2 linked regions of the Macaca fascicularis genome follow. The protein of the gene in region 1 purifies or fractionates together with the protein of each later gene. This does not show direct contact. Links are inferred from orthologs where the notes say so. Each region holds a gene or a part of one and is shown in the gene's direction. Other genes may lie near its edges. The genes, in order: CNOT7 and TNKS1BP1.

What was found.
Region 2: the proteins of CNOT7 (region 1) and TNKS1BP1 purify together in Homo sapiens (affinity purification with mass spectrometry; 4 studies listed by BioGRID and IntAct, counting the BioPlex papers as one, with this or other methods). This does not show direct contact. The link is inferred for Macaca fascicularis from reciprocal best matches to the Homo sapiens genes CNOT7 and TNKS1BP1.

The regions. Positions count from the first base shown.
Region 1 is NC_088382.1:20,247,173-20,255,995, reverse strand, and holds the end of CNOT7 (CCR4-NOT transcription complex subunit 7), read left to right. Parts: intron 1-1,659; coding exon 1,660-1,804; intron 1,805-3,979; coding exon 3,980-4,090; intron 4,091-5,645; coding exon 5,646-5,774; 3' UTR 5,775-7,313; downstream 7,314-8,823. UniProt on the Homo sapiens protein: Has 3'-5' poly(A) exoribonuclease activity for synthetic poly(A) RNA substrate. Its function seems to be partially redundant with that of CNOT8.
Region 2 is NC_088388.1:16,304,629-16,313,451, forward strand, and holds part of TNKS1BP1 (182 kDa tankyrase-1-binding protein), read left to right. Parts: coding exon 1-1,193; intron 1,194-2,233; exon of another isoform or gene 2,234-2,360; coding exon of another isoform or gene 2,361-2,486; intron 2,487-3,161; coding exon 3,162-5,323; intron 5,324-8,823.

The DNA.
Region 1 (8,823 bases):
TTTTAAGTTCTTTATTGTTATGAAACTAGATTTTTTAAGAGTGTTTCTGGTAAGGAAACTAGTTCCGATTTTGTGAAATAGACTTCCATGTATGAGAAAGAGTTTTCCCATCTAAGTAGACTAAACTGACCACCCAGGGACTAAAAGTAACCTTCAGAATGGTTACTTTCATTAGGTTTTGAAAAAGCTTTATGTTACATAGATGTTAATACTCTTACACTTGATCCACTTCACACATTTATTTTAAATCTGAGTCTCCTTGGTTTAGTTTGTATCTCTGATCTGTGGGATGTTTATAGTGAAGGATTTCATGTGGGCAACTTTGATGTGTACTAAGCAGAAACTGTTGAGTTGTAGGTAGTGAACACACTGATTCTTACTTATCATCTTTTTTTGTCTCTTTTCTACTTGAACCCATACCTTAGGAGACACAACTTAAGACTCTTGATACAAATAACTGTTTTTTAGTCATTTTTTCTTCCCTAGATATGAAGATGTAAAAGAACTGGAAAGTATTGTCCTATCCTTTTACTATATATGACATACTTTTTCATTTAAAAAATACTCCGACAAAATACAGTGCACTAGGCACTGGGGTATTAAGATGAATGAAAACAAACAGGTTTCATTCATGTCGTCTTGGAGTTTAGAATCTAAGTTAGACTGATATATTTAAATATTTATTAAGATACAAGATTTTATTCCATTAAATATCATTAGCTGTTTTCCTCATGTTCTAATCTATTTCAAGTAATAAGGAATAGTTTAGGAAGTTTATAAATCCTAAGTGCTAATATGATCTTAAACTTTTAATGTTAGTAAGCAGATGCCTTATAGGCTTCCTGTCAGAGGTCCTGTAAGGAAAAGTAGACGAGGGATGGATGTGTCTACGTGGCCTGGAAGTGTAGGGAGACAGAAAGCTGTGAAAAAAGGCCAAAGGGAGAAGAGGTCTGGATTTGAGAATGTAGGAGTTTGCATTTTATGATGAGGAGAGTAGTTATTTTTTTACTACCCTTCACTTCTTCCATGTGCAACATTTCCATTAATAATGACTCTTAGGGAGCCACACTGAGAGGAAGAGAATTGTGACGGAAGAGAGGGAGAGACTACTTAATAACATAGTCATTTAAGAGAAGTGAAAATACCTTGTTACAGTCTTATTCTTTGGATAATATATATGACCACCTTATGAAAAAGATGGGATGTCTTGCATTACTTTTGCCTATCGAATGCCAGTTGTCTTGCTACATTTGCTAACTCCTCTGGCCAAGTTTCCATACATCTTTATTTCTCCATTTCCATAGTTATTTAAAAAAGTATTTTGAGACATCTATGGGCAGCTTGATGCTCTTTTGGTGTTCTCAATTCAAATATCAACAAACTAGTATTTTCGTGACCACAGGCTTGGTTTGATAGTGTAGATCTGTGTTGATATCTCTGAATAATAAAGTGATAAAGTTCTTAATACTGTAAAATGACAGCATTTTCCCATTATAGTTCTCAATGTTTGTTTTCTCTGTTCTTGTGTGCACTTCTCTTTAATGTTTTTGGAAGGACTATAGTGTGACTTGCTTAAATTTGAATCAGATAAACTTTTTTTTTTTTAATCTTTATGGTATTTATGTGTCCCTCTTCTCTATTCTTTTAACCCTTTTATAGTGGTTACGACTTTGGCTACTTAATCAAAATCCTAACCAACTCTAACTTGCCTGAAGAAGAACTTGACTTCTTTGAGATCCTTCGATTGTTTTTTCCTGTAATTTATGATGTGAAGTACCTCATGAAGAGCTGCAAAAATCTCAAAGTAAGGCTTCAGGTGGCATTATCTATAGCAGCATGCTGTTCAGACCAAGGGACTGTCATGAGAGCCTAGGCTGGGATGTTGTTTTAAACCATATTTTACAGTATTACATTAAATGCAATTATATTATCTGGTCATGTGATTTTTTTTTCTTGCATACATGGTAATTTATAGGGAATTGTTTTTTCAGAGCTTCAGTATGTCTTGGCAGAAGGCAGAATATTCAACAGATTTCTAGCTTAGGTCAGATTCTTGTCATTGCTTGCCAGATTGAAAATCACAAACAAAAACAAACATCAGAGGACAGTGAGGCTCTCATATGCACACCAGTGTGAGTTCTTTCTTTCTCCCAGCACGCATAGAATATCTTCTTACAAGATAGAATCTAAGGTGGCCAGAGATGTGCAGATGTATTCAGTAATGTGGCAAAAGAGTTTTTCTTTCCTTTTGGCTTATCTTGGCTAGAAATTATTGTGTCAGTTCTAGTGATAGGATAATGTTCCTAGGATAAAACTACATAGCTAAAAGGTTCTTTTTCTGGCCAAAAGATGTCAGCTTCTTACAGTTAAGTATGATGGGAAATGTGTAGGTCCTGCCTAGATAGTAGTAACAGTCTGACGCTGCATAATGTGTATTTTTAAACTCTAAACATTAATTTTTTTGTTTTTGAGATGGAGTCTCGCTCTGTCACCCAGGCTGGAGTGCAGTGGGGTGATCTCAGCTCACTGCAACCTCTGCCTCCTAGGTTCAAGTGATTCTCCTGCCTCAGCCTCCTGTGTAGCTGGAATTACAACTGCCCATGACCACGCCCAGCTAATTATTGTATTTTTAGTAGAGATAGGGTTTCACCACGTTGGTTACACTGGTCTTAACAGATAAGATGAGAAGCTTTCTTTTGGCCAGTGTTTACCTTTAACAAGGGATATGGTCAGCATATGACTAGAGAAATTTTCAAGAAAGGTTAGTTTATGTTTGTAGCAGTAGACTTCTGTGTAATTTGAGGGGACTTCCAGTAAGTGAACTTGCAGTAGGGTGTCCCTTACTTGAGAAACAGTCCACCCTGTGAAAGCACACTGCATGCTGAGGCCTACATGTTTTCACTTGACTTTTTTTTTTTATTGACATGTCTGTATAATGACAGTTTTCAGGAACAGGGGACCAAATTATTGCTCGTTACGTGGTTGTTACTGGGAAGTTTCTAAGTACAGATATTCTCAATGTGTCCTGAGTAAGCTGCTATGTTAAAATTCAGGTTAACAACAAAGGTGCTTTTTGACCTATAGTCAGCCATGCTGTTCTATTCAGTTCTATTCTGTGTTCTCCTGAGCAGCTGCTAATGATACCTAATCCTCGTGCTATTTTTAGCACAGAAGCAACTGCTGTGTAAAGCATTGTTTCAAGCTGTGATGCACAGAAGGGCCATTTTGCTGGTGGAGGCCTTAACAATTTAGAGAAGAATTTTTGTTTTGTTGTTGGTGTTTCTTTACTTCACTCTCTATCCTCATTCTCCCCTCCCTTTACTCTCCTTCCCTCTCCTCCCACTTTCTTTCCTTCTGTTACTGTCTTTCCCTTCCTTTCTTTTCACTCTCATCTTTCTTTTTTAATCTTAGCAGTATTAACATAGGTGCATTATAGCAGACCACTCTAAGGAGTTGTGTGCATATACGCATCTTAACAAACAAAACCATAGTTAAGCATTTAGCATATTCTTAATGATTTGGTTATTCATAATGGCTTTGTTTTGTAAAAATTAAGTGAAAACTACAAATGGATGGTGGGAAGTTTAAGAAAATATGGAAACAATGGTGTTATACTAGCTATGCAGTTTTACAATTATTACAGGATTGATAGACCATGAGTGTACTTGATAAATATTACCCTATATATGGTCTGCTTCCCTCCCATATCTAGGAAAGTTATTTACTTGTCATACACCTTGAAACATAATGAAGATACATTTTCCCAATTAGGATCTTGTTTTCTATTAAATGATACTGTTTCCACATTCAACAAATACATTAGTAATTCACATTCTCTGTTTCTTCCCCCCAATCTTTATAAAATTCACCTTTACATACTAAAGTTTATTTTTATTTTGGTCAGTGTCTAAGTTTGTAATTTGTGAAAGTAGGCGTTGCAGTATTTTCCTCTTTGACAAGCAATTTTTATTTCTTCTAGGGTGGATTACAGGAGGTGGCAGAACAGTTAGAGCTGGAACGGATAGGACCACAACATCAGGCAGGATCTGATTCATTGCTCACAGGAATGGCCTTTTTCAAAATGAGAGAAGTATGAAGACATCACTGCCTTTTTCTCAGTTGGTTGTTAGGTTGAGAACATTAAAAATCTTATGGCCAAAGATTTTGGGCAACAAGTACCTACTAAGTAAAGATATATTTAGAGATACCATATGAGTCACATCCACTACACTTAAAAGTATTCAAAAATAAGTCATCTTGAAATGTAGTTCAGAAGGAACTGGGAGAACATGTTCATCATAGAACCAAAAATTTTAAAACATAAACTACCTGAGAAATCATGTAGGTCCAACCATATTATTTCTCAGGTGAGAAAACAGGCTAATAACTTCCATGATCAAACACATTACTAGTGGGAAAACTCCGGAGTTCTAACTCCCATTGGTGCTGCTTCTACAAGGCAAGGAATCTTTGTATTAGGTTTCTTCTAGCATGGCCCTCTTTTAGGCTTTAAATTGGTGATAAATATGTTATTTGCTCATGTCATTCTTCAGTGCTTTGAAGATTTTATAGAGAAGGACTCAGGCTTTTTACTGGATTGAGTCTTAAGAGGGGAGTTGAATTCTGAAGGGATAAAATAAATCCAACGTCCTAGTTGAATCAGAAACCCCATTAGGAAAACCCTCCTTAAATGGCAAAAGGCATGTTAGGTATGGAAGAATGGAACTTAATGAACCCATTATTCACTCTTAAGTAATTAAGTGATATGCACAGATACACCTAGCTATAGGTAAACAGGAAAATTGTGCAAAAACAAGTGAGGTTTTTCTTGGCTCTAAGTTTTCCTTTTTGCAAAAATTCTCTGTGGATTTGAGTATATTTTCTCTTAGACATGAAAGAATTGACTGAGACTGAGAATTTAAAAACTTTTTGGAGCAATGTATTGATAATAGAAAGCATTAAAGCTGTTTTGCTAAGTAGTGTTGATTCAGAAGTGATTTGGACTATCCATTCATGACACGTAAACATTTTGTTTTGGAGTCCTTCCCATTGTTTCATTAGATAATTGAAATAACCTTTTAGATTTTTTAGCTTTGCATTTTAAAAATGTCTTAATGGTTTATTTAACTAAAGGTGGATTTCTGGCACTAATTTATTTTTATTTTTCTTGGCTTCTTCAATGACAGTAAAGTAATAGAGTGTGAATGTTTGGATTTTACTGTCCATGACTTTACAGTTTATTTATAGCCAGCTCAGCCTTGCCTGTAGATTTAAGACAGCTTATGAACCTAAACTTTTTTTTCCCCACCATCATTGGCTTTCTTCATTCTTACTCGAGTATTGTTAATTAATGGAATAAATATTTATTTATCCACGATGACAAATTCTTATAAAAATGGTCTAAATGGAAAAGACATGCATTTGTACATTTTTTTCATAGTCTCTTACTTTGGTTTCTGAGCTCTGTACTTTTGAGGACATTAGTTTTACTCATTGAACTGAAATGTGTAGCCTCAAAGGAACACCATAGAAAAGAGCCATCATTATCTCAGTGAACAGTCAGTACTTACATTGCTGAAATATAAATTACAAGTGGTTCCCTTTGGTTAAAATTATCTTTTTTTTTCTTCAAAATTCCTTTTTAGATGTTCTTTGAAGATCATATTGATGATGCCAAATATTGTGGTCATTTGTATGGCCTTGGTTCTGGTTCATCCTATGTACAGAATGGCACAGGGAATGCATATGAAGAGGAAGCCAACAAGCAGTCATGACATGAAATAGTCTTTTTATTTTATTTTGAGCTACACACATGCTTGTATATAGGTTTTATCTCTGGTTGAATCCCTTGAACAATAGACAGTACCTTTCCCCCCCCCTTTCATGGCCCATTTTATTGTCTACCTTTCACTACTAAGTATGACCGTTCCTATCTCAGATCTTAATAAAAAACAAAACAAAACAAAAAACCAAAACAAAAACTCATTCAGGTTAAATTTGGCCTTAATTTAATATACTTGTTAGCAAGCGTGTGTGACAGAGAGTGGGGAAAGCTACATCACTGAATATTTTGATAAACTTTACCTACTTGAGTTTGGTTTATTTTTCCCTTTTCCTAAATTGACTAGCACTGACTGTAATTTATTTCCCTGTTTCATGTCTCTCTCTTCCATTCTGCAGGAGTTTTAGCTATTTGAGATTGTGGACCATCAGTTTTGCACTTTAGAGAGCGTTTCTGACTCAAAACCTCTGTTTTATCAAAAATTTTGTTTTTTCTTGATCTTAGCTGGAAAAATGACCATCTGCCACCTTGACACAGTATTTACTTGGTTTTGACTCACAGAATATAGCATATTCATTGTGCAAACTGTCGATTCAGCGAAACTAAAAAAAAAAGGACAAGAAACTACTGAGGAGCTTAGTAACTGCTGTTTCTGTACGTAGTGTTTAATCTTCCAAGCACATCTAGTGTCTGTCAGTTTCTAATTGGCATGTGTAGGCTGCTCTGTGACTGAAGAATTTTCAAACCAGCTTTACACCCTTCAGGAAAAATCCCTTGTGATTGGATGTTTAGTATCTGCCAGGAAACTGGTACTCAAGATGTTGAAGCTACAGTTATTTTATGATAGCACACTTCCCTTGATCTGCTTATTTTTATTCCATCACCATTTACCCTTGTCTTTTTTTAAAATTTTATTTTGTAGCCATACTTATGATGCTTTTGATTTGTTGGTTACACAAATCAATTTTATTAAAATCCAAAGATAACAAGTCTTTAGGTATATTTTGTACCAGATTAAATTAGAAGACAAAAATTGCGCTTTCATAGTTGCTACAAAGGTAAATAATGGAGAGATTTGGTACAAAACAACAAATTATATATATATATATATTCTCATATATATATATAGCTAATAAAATTACCTGAGGAGTGTAATGCTTGTTTATTTTTTTGTGTATATCTTTGCAATCTATTTTATATATATTGACAAAAGAGACTGTGAAATATTTAGCCATGCAGAATATGTGACCAGACCAGAGCATGTGTAGGAAGACTTTGGTAATCATTAACTGTACCCTGAAATGATGGACTACAAGTTATAATGTGTGTTACCTACACTTCAATCAGTAATATTAGCAAATCTTCAAATGTTAGTCACATTGGTTTGTCTCCCTTGTACATTCTTTATTCATGATATTACAGTGCTGTAACTGGGTGGTCCTTTTTAAACAAAACATTATTTGCAAAACAGAGGGTATTATTTGTTTTTAAAGCTTTTGTAAATAAAGGCTTCAAAATGTTTTCTTATAAATGTTGATGACTGGTGATTTTGTTTTGGAAATACTCATTTGGGGGATATTGTTCATTTTTATTTGGGCAACTCAACAGAATTCAGTAACTTCCTTCATTAACCCTAGATGATTATTAGTCCATTAATTGAAAAATCAGTCTGAGTTTTCTGCATTTCAAGTGTTGGCTTATTCTTGTTCTTTATGAGTACCTCAACTAGCTAAGTAAGGATTTCTATTTCTCCTTTCCAGGAATGCATTTATTCATAAGGATATACTTAAAAGGAAATACATCTGGTGTAACTGTGGCTCTTTAAAAAATCTAACACAATGTAGCAAGTTTCTGACTGGCTGCTTTTCATTTTGTCTTTGCTAAAAAGGAAGTGAAACTTCTTTTCGCTTGTGATTTCAGTGTTAGTTTTTATTGAGAAAACTAACATTTATAGTTACCTATTCTTTGAGAAATCAATGTGAAACCTTTTTAGTAGCCACATCGTTGCTCAATCTCATAACTTGTATCAGTTCTGGCTCTGTCCCTAAAAAGTATAGATAATCCCTAACTTAACTATCTTTCAACTTAATGATTTTTCAACTTTACAGTGGGTGTATTGTAACCCCATCAAAAGTTTAGGAGCTCCTTAGGACCTATGATGGGGTTACAGTTTCTACTGAATGTGTATTGCTTTTGCACCATCGCAAAGTCAAAGTTTGTAAGTTGAACCATTGTAAATTGGGGGACTGTATGCTGTTGTCTGCATTAAATGAATGTTAGTATTTTTTCAGATGTAACCTCATTGTAGGTTGAGTACCTGTATAGTATTTTATAACTTCTGTAGAGGAACATTTTGACTTTTACTGGGTCTAAGCTTTACTTTATTTTGTTCCAGACAGTCTGAATGTTTGTAGAGTCTAGGTTTTAGATGTAAGATATTTGGATAATTTTTTTAGTGTTCCTGAACCATTAATTACAGACTCATACAGTCTGTTAAGTCTACTAGAGCAAGGGTTGTCAAACTATGGCCCGCAGCCAGAATCAGCTTGCTGCCTGTTTTTGTGTGGCCCATGAACTGAAAATGGCTTTTAGTTTTAAGTGGTTGGGAAAAATATTCAAAAGATTATTTCCTGACATCAGACAATTACATGAAATTCAATTTTTAGTGTCTATAAGTTTTTATAGGAATGCAGCCACAATCATTTACATATTATCTATGGATACTTTTTTGCTATAATGGAAAAGTTGAGTAGCTGCTACAGAACCTGTTTAAGTCTGTCTTGTTTCACATTGCTGCTTGGCAAGCTACAGAATCATGGTGATGCAGATATAACCTGAAAGCATTTAGAATGCCCTGTGTATTGCTAGATTTGTTACTTTTTCTGCTACCAGTTCATGCCCTGTATCTCAGAACAAGAAAAGTACACTTTGATATGTTTTCAAGGCACACTAGAATATGGACTATTTTATTATATAGTGGTATGTTACGTTTATAATGCAATGACACTGTAACTGGTAAAAGAAGATTGACAGTATCAGAC
Region 2 (8,823 bases), on another chromosome or scaffold:
CTGATGCTTCCCAGGCTTCTCCTTGCCCCGCTGTGACTCCATCAGCTCCAAGTGCAGCCCTGCCTGAGGAGGGCTCCCACCACACCCCCAGCCCCGGGCTCCCTGCTGAGGGGGCTCCAGAGGCCCCCAGACCCAGCAGCCCTCCCCCTGAGGTCTCGGAGCCCCACAGCCTGGATCAGCCCCCTGCCACCTCGCCCCGGCCCCTGATCGAGGTGGGTGAGTTGCTTGATCTCACTCGGACGTTTCCATCTGGCGGGGAGGAGGAGGCCAAGGGTGACGCACACCTCCGCCCCACCAGCCTGGTTCAGCGCCGATTCTCTGAAGGTGTGCTCCAGTCACCCAGCCAGGACCAGGAGAAGCTGGGGGGCTCGCTGGCTGCCCTGCCCCAAGGCCAGGGGAGCCAGTTGGCCCTGGATCGTCCCTTTGGAGCAGAGTCCAACTGGAGCTTATCACAGTCCTTCGAATGGACCTTCCCCACGCGGCCCTCGGGTCTGGGCGTGTGGCGGCTGGACTCCCCGCCTCCCTCCCCCATCACTGAAGCCAGTGAGGCTGCTGAGGCTGCTGAGGCTGGCAACTTGGCTGTTTCCAGCAGGGAAGAAGGAGTGTCTCAGCAGGGGCAAGGGGCCGGGTCAGCTCCAAGTGGGTCAGGAAGGCCTAGTTCCTGGGTGCAAGGGGATGATCCAAGCATGTCCCTCCCCGAGAAGGGCGATGGGGAGAGTCAACCTCAATTCCCAGCTGTTCCCCTTGAGCCCCTACCTACAACTGAGGGCTCACCTGGGTTACCTTTGCAGCAGGCAGAGGAGAGATACGAGTCGCAGGAGCCCTTGGCTGGACAGGAGTCCCCTCTCCCCCTGGCTACCAGGGAGGCAGCTCTGCCCATCCTGGAGCCGGTCCTGGGGCAGGAGCAGCCAGCACCCCCTGACCAGCCCTGTGTTCTCTTTGCTGATACCCCTGAGCCTGGGCAGGCACTGCCTATCGAGGAGGAGGCCGTGACCCTAGCCCGGGCCGAGACCACCCAACCCAGGACAGAGGCTCAAGACTTGTGTAGGGCATCCCCCGAGCCTCCGGGCCCTGAAAGCAGCTCCCGCTGGCTGGACGACCTCCTGGCTTCACCACCACCTAGTGGTGGCGGTGCAAGACGGGGAGCTGGATCTGAGCTGAAGGACGCACAGTCCCCAAGTACCTGCTCTGAGGTGAGAAGGGGCATAGGGAGAGTGGGACTTCTGGGGACAGAGGCCAGGGCTTGGGTGGGCTTCATTCTTTGAACATGGATTTTACGTGTTGAGAGCTTGGGCTGTGGTAGCAAGCAAGGCAGCTGTGGACCTGCAGATCGTAGCTCTGCAGAACCGCACAGGACGGTGTGTGGGGTTTCGTGTGAGGCTGTATCCCAGCTTCAGCATTCGCTAGCTGATTGGTCTTGGGAAGAATGTGCCTTAACTGCTAAGCTTCAGAGTGCTTTCATGATAGTAGCGCCGGCCTCTTAGAGTTATATTGTGGGTAAACAAGAGGGGGAAAGCTCTCAGTACAGTGTGTGGCAGGTGCTGAGTATTCAGTCTCTCATTATGGGAATATTGTTCAAGGCAAAATAGTGTAGCCATTTAGAGCGTGGGCTCCTGGGTTGGTCTCCTGGCTCTGCTTTCCTTTGCCCAGGTGTGACCTTGAAAGAGTGACGTTTCTGCCCTCTGCCTCAGTTTCCACATCTGTAAAATGCGGATAAGATGAGCTCTACCTCCAAGGGTGTTGGCAAGGGTTCAATGAGCTGTAATGTCTAAAGTGCTAAGAATAGTGCCTGGTTCATCCTAAGTGCTTAATACGTGTTGGCTTTTACAAACGTTATTAACATTGAGCTCCAGACCTGCTTTGTAGACAGGCAGCTGGGCCTCAGAGGAGGCGAGCCTTGTGCAGTTACCCAGCAAGTTGGTGGCTGGGCCCGGGCCAGCGCCGTTTCCCGGCCCAGTGCCCTTTCTCCTACCAGGCTGCCTCTGAATTTAAGGGCCGGGGGCCAGGTGGCTTTTGAAATTTATTTCTCAAGCCGGGCCTGGGCTGTAAGGGGCGGGGCTGCAGGAAAGGAGGAGCCAGGGGGCCTCTGGAGGCTAGGGGGCGGGGAGGAGGAGGAGCAGGAAGGGGTTAAGCTGACTCCTGCAGTAGGTGTGTCTGTCCCGGGATGTGGGTGACTCAACTGGCTCCTGGGCGGGGCTGCCCAAGCTGCAGCTGCTCCGAAGGGAGCAGGGCCAGGGTGAGGGAGAGCCAGCGCTGCCAGAGCCGTCGGACAGGTCCCAGCGTGGGGAGCAGCCCAGCCCTATCCCTGCGCCCGGCTGGCCGCACCCAGTAGCCCCGAGGCGGGCGGGGGGCGGAGGGCCATGGCCCAGCCTGGGGACGGGGAGGCCAGCATGTCTGTCCTGGAGCGGCTACTGGCCAACGCTGCGCTGAGGGATGAGGCTGGCCGGCTCCGAAGCCCTGAGCCCAGGGCTCTCCCGCCCACGAGGGTGAGTCAGGGAGCGTGAGGTGGGGGTTGGGGTGCAAGAAGCCCTGGCTGGGATTTTCCCCTGTGCGAGAAGCTGCCCCTCCTGTCTTTCCTGGGCCGAGGTGAGGGCTGAGAGGTCTTCCTGGGGAGGATTGAGCAGACGGCACTTTGGCTGGGGACGAAGGGGCTGGGTACTTACAGGAGGATGGGGGTCAGGTGGGGCGTGGGGGAGGATGGGCTGGAAAAGCTCTCACTGGTGTTGGAACCTTGCCTTGCAAGGGAGGTTGCAGAGAGGCTTTGAATCTTGACCTCTCCTAATCAAAAGGAAAGTACGTTGCCCGCCATTCCTGTGTGAAGACCACTCCTGGCTGTTAGCCGAGTATTGCCCAAGGGTTGTAAACATGACCATGGGACCATCGATTGAGTGCCCACTGCATGCCAGGCATTATGCCGAGTGCTTGGTCTGAATGATTTCGTTTAATCCTCTCACACCGGCCCCACGCAGTAGGAATTATCTTCATTTAAGGATGAGGACGCTGAGGCCCCGAGTGGTTAAGTTATTTGCTCAAGGTCACACAGCTTTCTGTGGCCAAAGTGGGGCTTTCAGGCACTAGGCAGTGCTGACTCTGCTGGATTGACTCCCACCCCGATTGAATCTAATCGTTGTTTCTTTGTCTGTTTTTTTTCTTATTCCCAGGGACTCCTTGGCTGGTCCCAGAAAGATCTGCAGAGTGAATTTGGGATCACAGGAGACCCACAGCCCAGCAGTTTCAGTCCTTCCAACTGGTGTCAAGGTGCTTCTCAGGACTATGGCCTTGGGGGTGCAAGCCCTAGAGGAGACCCAGGTCTCGGAGAGAGGGACTGGACCAGCAAGTATGGGCAAGGAGCTGGGGAAGGGAGCACCAGGGAGTGGGCCAGCAGGTGTGGCATCGGCCAGGAGGAGATGGAGGCCAGCAGCAGCCAAGACCAGAGTGAAGTGTCTGCCCCAGGGGTGCTCACAGCCCAGGACCGGGTAGTTGGAAAGCCAGCCCAGCTTGGCACTCAGCGGAGCCAGGAGGCAGATGTTCAGGACTGGGAGTTCAGAAAGAGGGATTCCCAGGGCACTTACTCCAGCCGGGATGCGGAACTCCAGGACCAGGAATTTGGGAAGAGAGATTCACTGGGTACTTACAGTAGTCGAGATGTAAGCCTTGGGGACTGGGAATTTGGGAAAAGAGATTCTCTGGGTGCTTATGCCAGCCAAGATGCCAACGAGCAGGGTCAAAATTTGGGGAAGAGGGACCACCATGGCAGGTACAGCAGCCAGGATGCCGATGAGCAGGACTGGGAGTTTCAGAAGAGAGATGTGTCACTTGGCACCTATGGCAGCCGGGATGCAGAGCCGCAGGAACAGGAGTTTGGGAAGAGCGCTTGGATAAGGGACTACAGCAGTGGTGGCAGCTCCAGGACCCTTGACGCCCAGGAAAGAGGCTTTGGAACAAGACCCTTGAGCTCTGGGTTCAGCCCCGAGGAAGCCCAGCAACAGGATGAGGAATTTGAGAAGAAGATTCCAAGTGTGGAAGACAACCTTGGAGAGGGCAGCAGGGATGCTGGCCGGCCAGGACAGAGAGAATCAGGGGGCTTGTTCAGTCCTAGCACTGCCCACGTGCCGGATGGGGCACTCGGGCAGAGAGACCAGAGCAGCTGGCAAAACAGTGATGCTAGCCGGGAGGTGGGAGGGCATCAGGAGAGACAGCAGGCAGGGGCTCAGGGCCCTGGCAGTGCTGGCCTGGAAGATGGGGAGATGGGGAAGCGAGGCTGGGTCGGTGAGTTTAGCCTCAGTGTTGGCCCCCGGAGAGAGGCAGCATTTAGCCCAGGGCAGCAGGACTGGAGCCCGGACTTCTGCCTCGAGGCCAGTGAGAGGAGCTATCAGTTTGGCATCATTGGCAACGACAGAGTGAGTGGTGCTGGCTTTAGCCCTTCTAGCAAGATGGGAGGTGGTCACTTTGTGCCTCCTGGGAAGACCACAGCTGGCTCGGTGGACTGGACTGACCAGCTGGGTCTCAGGAACTTGGAAGTATCCAGCTGTGTGGGTTCCGGGGGCTCAAGTGAGGCCAGGGAGGATGCCGTGGGACAGATGGGCTGGTCAGGCGGCCTGAGCTTGAGAGACATGAACCTGGCCGGCTGTTTGGAAAGTGGAGGGTCTGAAGAGCCCGGGGGAATTGGAGCTGGGGAGAAGGACTGGACTTCTGATGTGAATGTGAAGAGCAAAGATTTGACTGAGGTCGGGAAAGGAGGAGGCCACAGCCAGGCCAGAGAGAGTGGCGTGGGGCAGACCGACTGGTCAGGTGTGGAGGCCGGAGAGTTCCTTAAATCAAGGGAGCGTGGAGTTGGACAGGCAGACTGGACACCTGACCTCGGGCTGAGAAACATGGCCCCAGGGGCAGTCTGCAGTCCTGGAGAGCACAAAGAGCTTGGGGTGGGCCAGATGGACTGGGGTAACAATCTGGGCCTGAGGGATTTGGAGGTGTCCTGTGACCCAGAGTCTGGAGGTTCTCAGGGGCTACGGGGATGTGGGGTGGGGCAGATGGACTGGACCCGGGACTTGGCTCCCCGGAATGTGGAGCTCTTTGGGACTCCGAGTGAAGCCAGGGAGCATGGGGTGGGCGGGGTCAGCCAGTGCCCAGAGCCCAGCCTGAGGCACAATGGCAGCTTGTCCCCTGGCCTGGAGGCCAGAGACCCCTTGGAGGCCAGGGAGCTGGGGGTTGGTGAGACAAGTGGGCCAGAGACCCAGGGTGAAGATGACTCCTCGTGTTCCTTGGAGCCACACCCTGCAGACCGTGGAATGGAGACAGGAGAAGCCCTCAGCTTCGGAGCCAGGTAACGAACGGAGCCCCCTCCCAAGTGTGGGAGGGAACATGTGAGGGTTATCCAAGAAATTGGAACCTTTCTGAGGAGGGAAGAAACAGTTTTTCCTGAGGACTTTTAGTGTTTGGAAGATTGAGACATTTTAGACTAAGAATTTTTAATTCTACTTAAAAAATTGAAATACGATACACATACAGGTGAGTTCTTTTTGGGAAGGATGACTAATGTGTTACTTTTGCAACCCATGTTTGAGCTTTCTTGGTGATTTAGAATTGTGACTGTGATGGGGAAATGGTGCGTGTCATAGCTTGGATGGTTTCTGGTGGGTTCTACTCTTGTACACAGTAGCCGTTCCGCAGGCCCCTCAGCCCTGAAGCCACAGGTGGTTTCATAGGTGTAGGGCAGAGAATTCTGTCTCTTCTTGGCTGGGGCCACCACAGCCAGGAGTGGAGTGGACAGTGGCACCCACGGGTTCTCAAAGAGGTTAGGGACTTTGTGCTTCTTGCCTGTCATGAAGCCTGGAATAGCACGTTCAAGAACCTGAAGGGTATGGGGACCTGGCCCCATGACTTTGGCCTCTATGTGCAAAGTTGCTGAAAGAACTTTCCAAAGGCTTTGCAAGCCAACCACAATCTGTTTCATGGATGTTTTAAAACCAGCTGAGATGATTTTGCAGCTGAGAAAGGTGCTAAAAAGGCATTGCATCCGTTTTGTTAACATTTGCATCCATTGAGATTCGCTTTTATTCCCTTCAGTGAGTAGCACATGTTTCCTTTTCCAGCCCACAGTGGGAGCGTCTCACTGGGTATGTGGGGAAGGCAAGGGAAGTGTGGGGGTGGGGGCTTTTATAAGTGGAAGGGGTTGGTGATGGGAGGAGAGGAGCAGGAAGGGGCTAGAGAGCATCATGGTGGTCTTGGGGAGTCAGAGAGGCATTTGGGATGGAGGAGAAGGAGGGAGAGAGGAAGGTGGGCCCAGGGAGATGCCCAGGGGGGTTTGAGGAAGGGGAGCTTCCTGACGACTCAGGCTGTTGAGGGGGTGGTGATGGAGCACAGGGAACCACTGAGGCTGCATTGAGGACTGCAAGGAAGAGGGGAGGGTGCAGGACTAGGAGTCGGGAGGCCCTTGTGGTCCTGGGCAGGTTGCTGGGCTCTGAGCCTCAGTTTCTCAGGGTTTGACTCAGAAAGTGCAGAGTTCCAACTTTAATGTTCCTGGTGCAGGGGAGAGTCCAGGCTTGGCGTGGTTATTCCTGATTTCTCTTCCTGGGACTCATAGACCTTTGCACGCCCCATGCTTAACCACACATCTTACCTCATTGATCTTCCCAGCTGCTCTGTGAGGCAGGAAAGGGATTTTTATCCTCTCCGCTGGCAGGTGGAAAGGTGGTATGACACCTTAAGGGCAAAGAGTCGGGAGTACCTCTTTCTCACTTGCTTATGTTAACTGCTTTCAGGTGTGGCCGCTGTGGGACCCACAGCTCTCTGCCTTTCCCTTCTGTGTGGGGTGGCTCTTGAGAAGTGGAAAGTGATCATCTTGTTCCCTTAGTTTAGGATAGAGGGAGGTGGGGCCGGGATTGTGGTGGAACTAGGTTAGGGGAAGAGGAGGGTAGCGTTGGAGAAGCAGGGAAGCACTCAGCTCTCCGAGCTTTGGTCTCATTGTGCCTTTAAAGCACCCAGGCTTTTGTGGTTGTGTTACCATAATCTGGTCAGTGTTGACTTTAACCCGAGTTCAGGGGTTAGCCGTGGTGCCATACAGGTGAGCCTCATTGTATGCAACAGAAAGCGCGGCTCCTCAAAAGCCGAATGGAAACAGTTGCTTTAGAGAGGAGTTCCAGGGGCTTGTTTGAATTTTATGCTTTCGGGCAGCCTTTTCTGAAATGTGTCCTAAAAAATACCAGTCTGTGAATATGTTTGGAAAATGCTGGGTACTCTATGGCCATACAGAAGACTTAGTCTGTATATTAGCATATATTAGTACCTTAAAGACAAGTAATGCACTATTTTCCAAACTAATTTGGCTAATATCCAAGAGCCTAGTGTTCTGAGCAGGGAAATTCTGATGTAGGGAAATTCTACACTATGGGCACTTTCTCTTTTTTTTTTTTGATGGAGTCTCGGTCTGTCGTCGCCCAGGCTCCCAGCCTGAAGTGCAATGGTGCGATCTCGGCTCACTGCAACCTCTGCCATCTGGGTTTAAGTGATTCTCCTGCCTCAGCCTCCTGAGTAGCTGGGATTACAGGCATACATCACCACGCCTGGCTAATTTTTGTATTTTTAGCAGAGACAGGGTTTCACCATGTTGGCCAGGCTGGTCTTGAACTCTAGACCTCATGTGATCTGCCCACCTCGGCCTCCCAAAGTGCTGGGATTACAGGAATGAGCCACCATGCCTGGCCCACTATGGGCACTTTGTCTTTAAAGAAAATTTTGGAGGTTCCCTTTGTAATGAGAAGTCCTTGAGAATAGCTCAGAGGGGTCTGGCTTTAGGTCCATCTGCCAGGCTTGCGCTCTGATTCTGTCACCACCTCTGTGACCTTGGGCAAGTTTGTTCTCTTCTGCAGGCCTCCGATTCCTCATATGTAAGTTGGGAGTAACTTACACCCAGTACTCACGGGGCTTTGTTGATTAGTCCTCACAAAAACTAGGGAAACTGAGACGCAGAGAGGCAGTGTGGCTGGCACCAGTTCCCGCGGCTGGTGGCTGTGGGTTTTTCTTGTCCCCCTGGGCCCAAGCCTTGCAGTCCTCTGTGGCCATCCTCCCTGTCTCTTTGGGGTCAAGGTCAGCTGCTGTTTCTCTAGACAAATCTTTCCAGCTTCACTCCTCCCTCATTTCAGGCTTCAAAACACTGGGATATTCACGTTTTGTAGTTCCAGCACCATGTTTGCCTCTGGAACGGTGGTGGAGGGTGGGGTGGGATACGGTCTTGGTCCTCAGGGTACTCTAAAGTTTAGATCAGGTGAAGGGTGTAGATGCGACAAGATGAGGCACATCCTCTCTGGCCAGGGACCTGTGTTGATGATAATGACTATCCTAATTGTTGTATTTATCAAGTGCTAACTATGTGTTAGGCACGTATTTCTGCCAACAAACTGGAACAGTTCATGTACTTTTATTACCCCCATTTTACAGATAAAGAAACTGAGGTTCAGAGTGGGACAAGTAACTTGTGGTCAAAGCCACAGGCGTAGGAGGAGACAGAGCCTAGCTGTGTCCTGGAGGGGCAGGACTCAGCCCCTGTGTTCCTAACTACCCCTCTTTCCTGCCCCCATGCCGGGAGGGGCTCAGCTTGTACGTGATCCGGGCGCTTCGGGGTAGAAAAGCTGCTTCTAAGATGAGGTGAAGGGCGAGTGGGGTTTAGTCCGGCTGGGTGGACGTAGCTGTACTTCCTTGGGCTCTCCCCACTCGCCACTCTCCACTCCTCAGGGCTACCTCCAGAGCCCACTGACCTCTGCCTGAATGGCTTGGGCCAGCTCTCGGTTTAGAAGTGGATTTTTTTTGTTGTTTTTGAGATGGAGT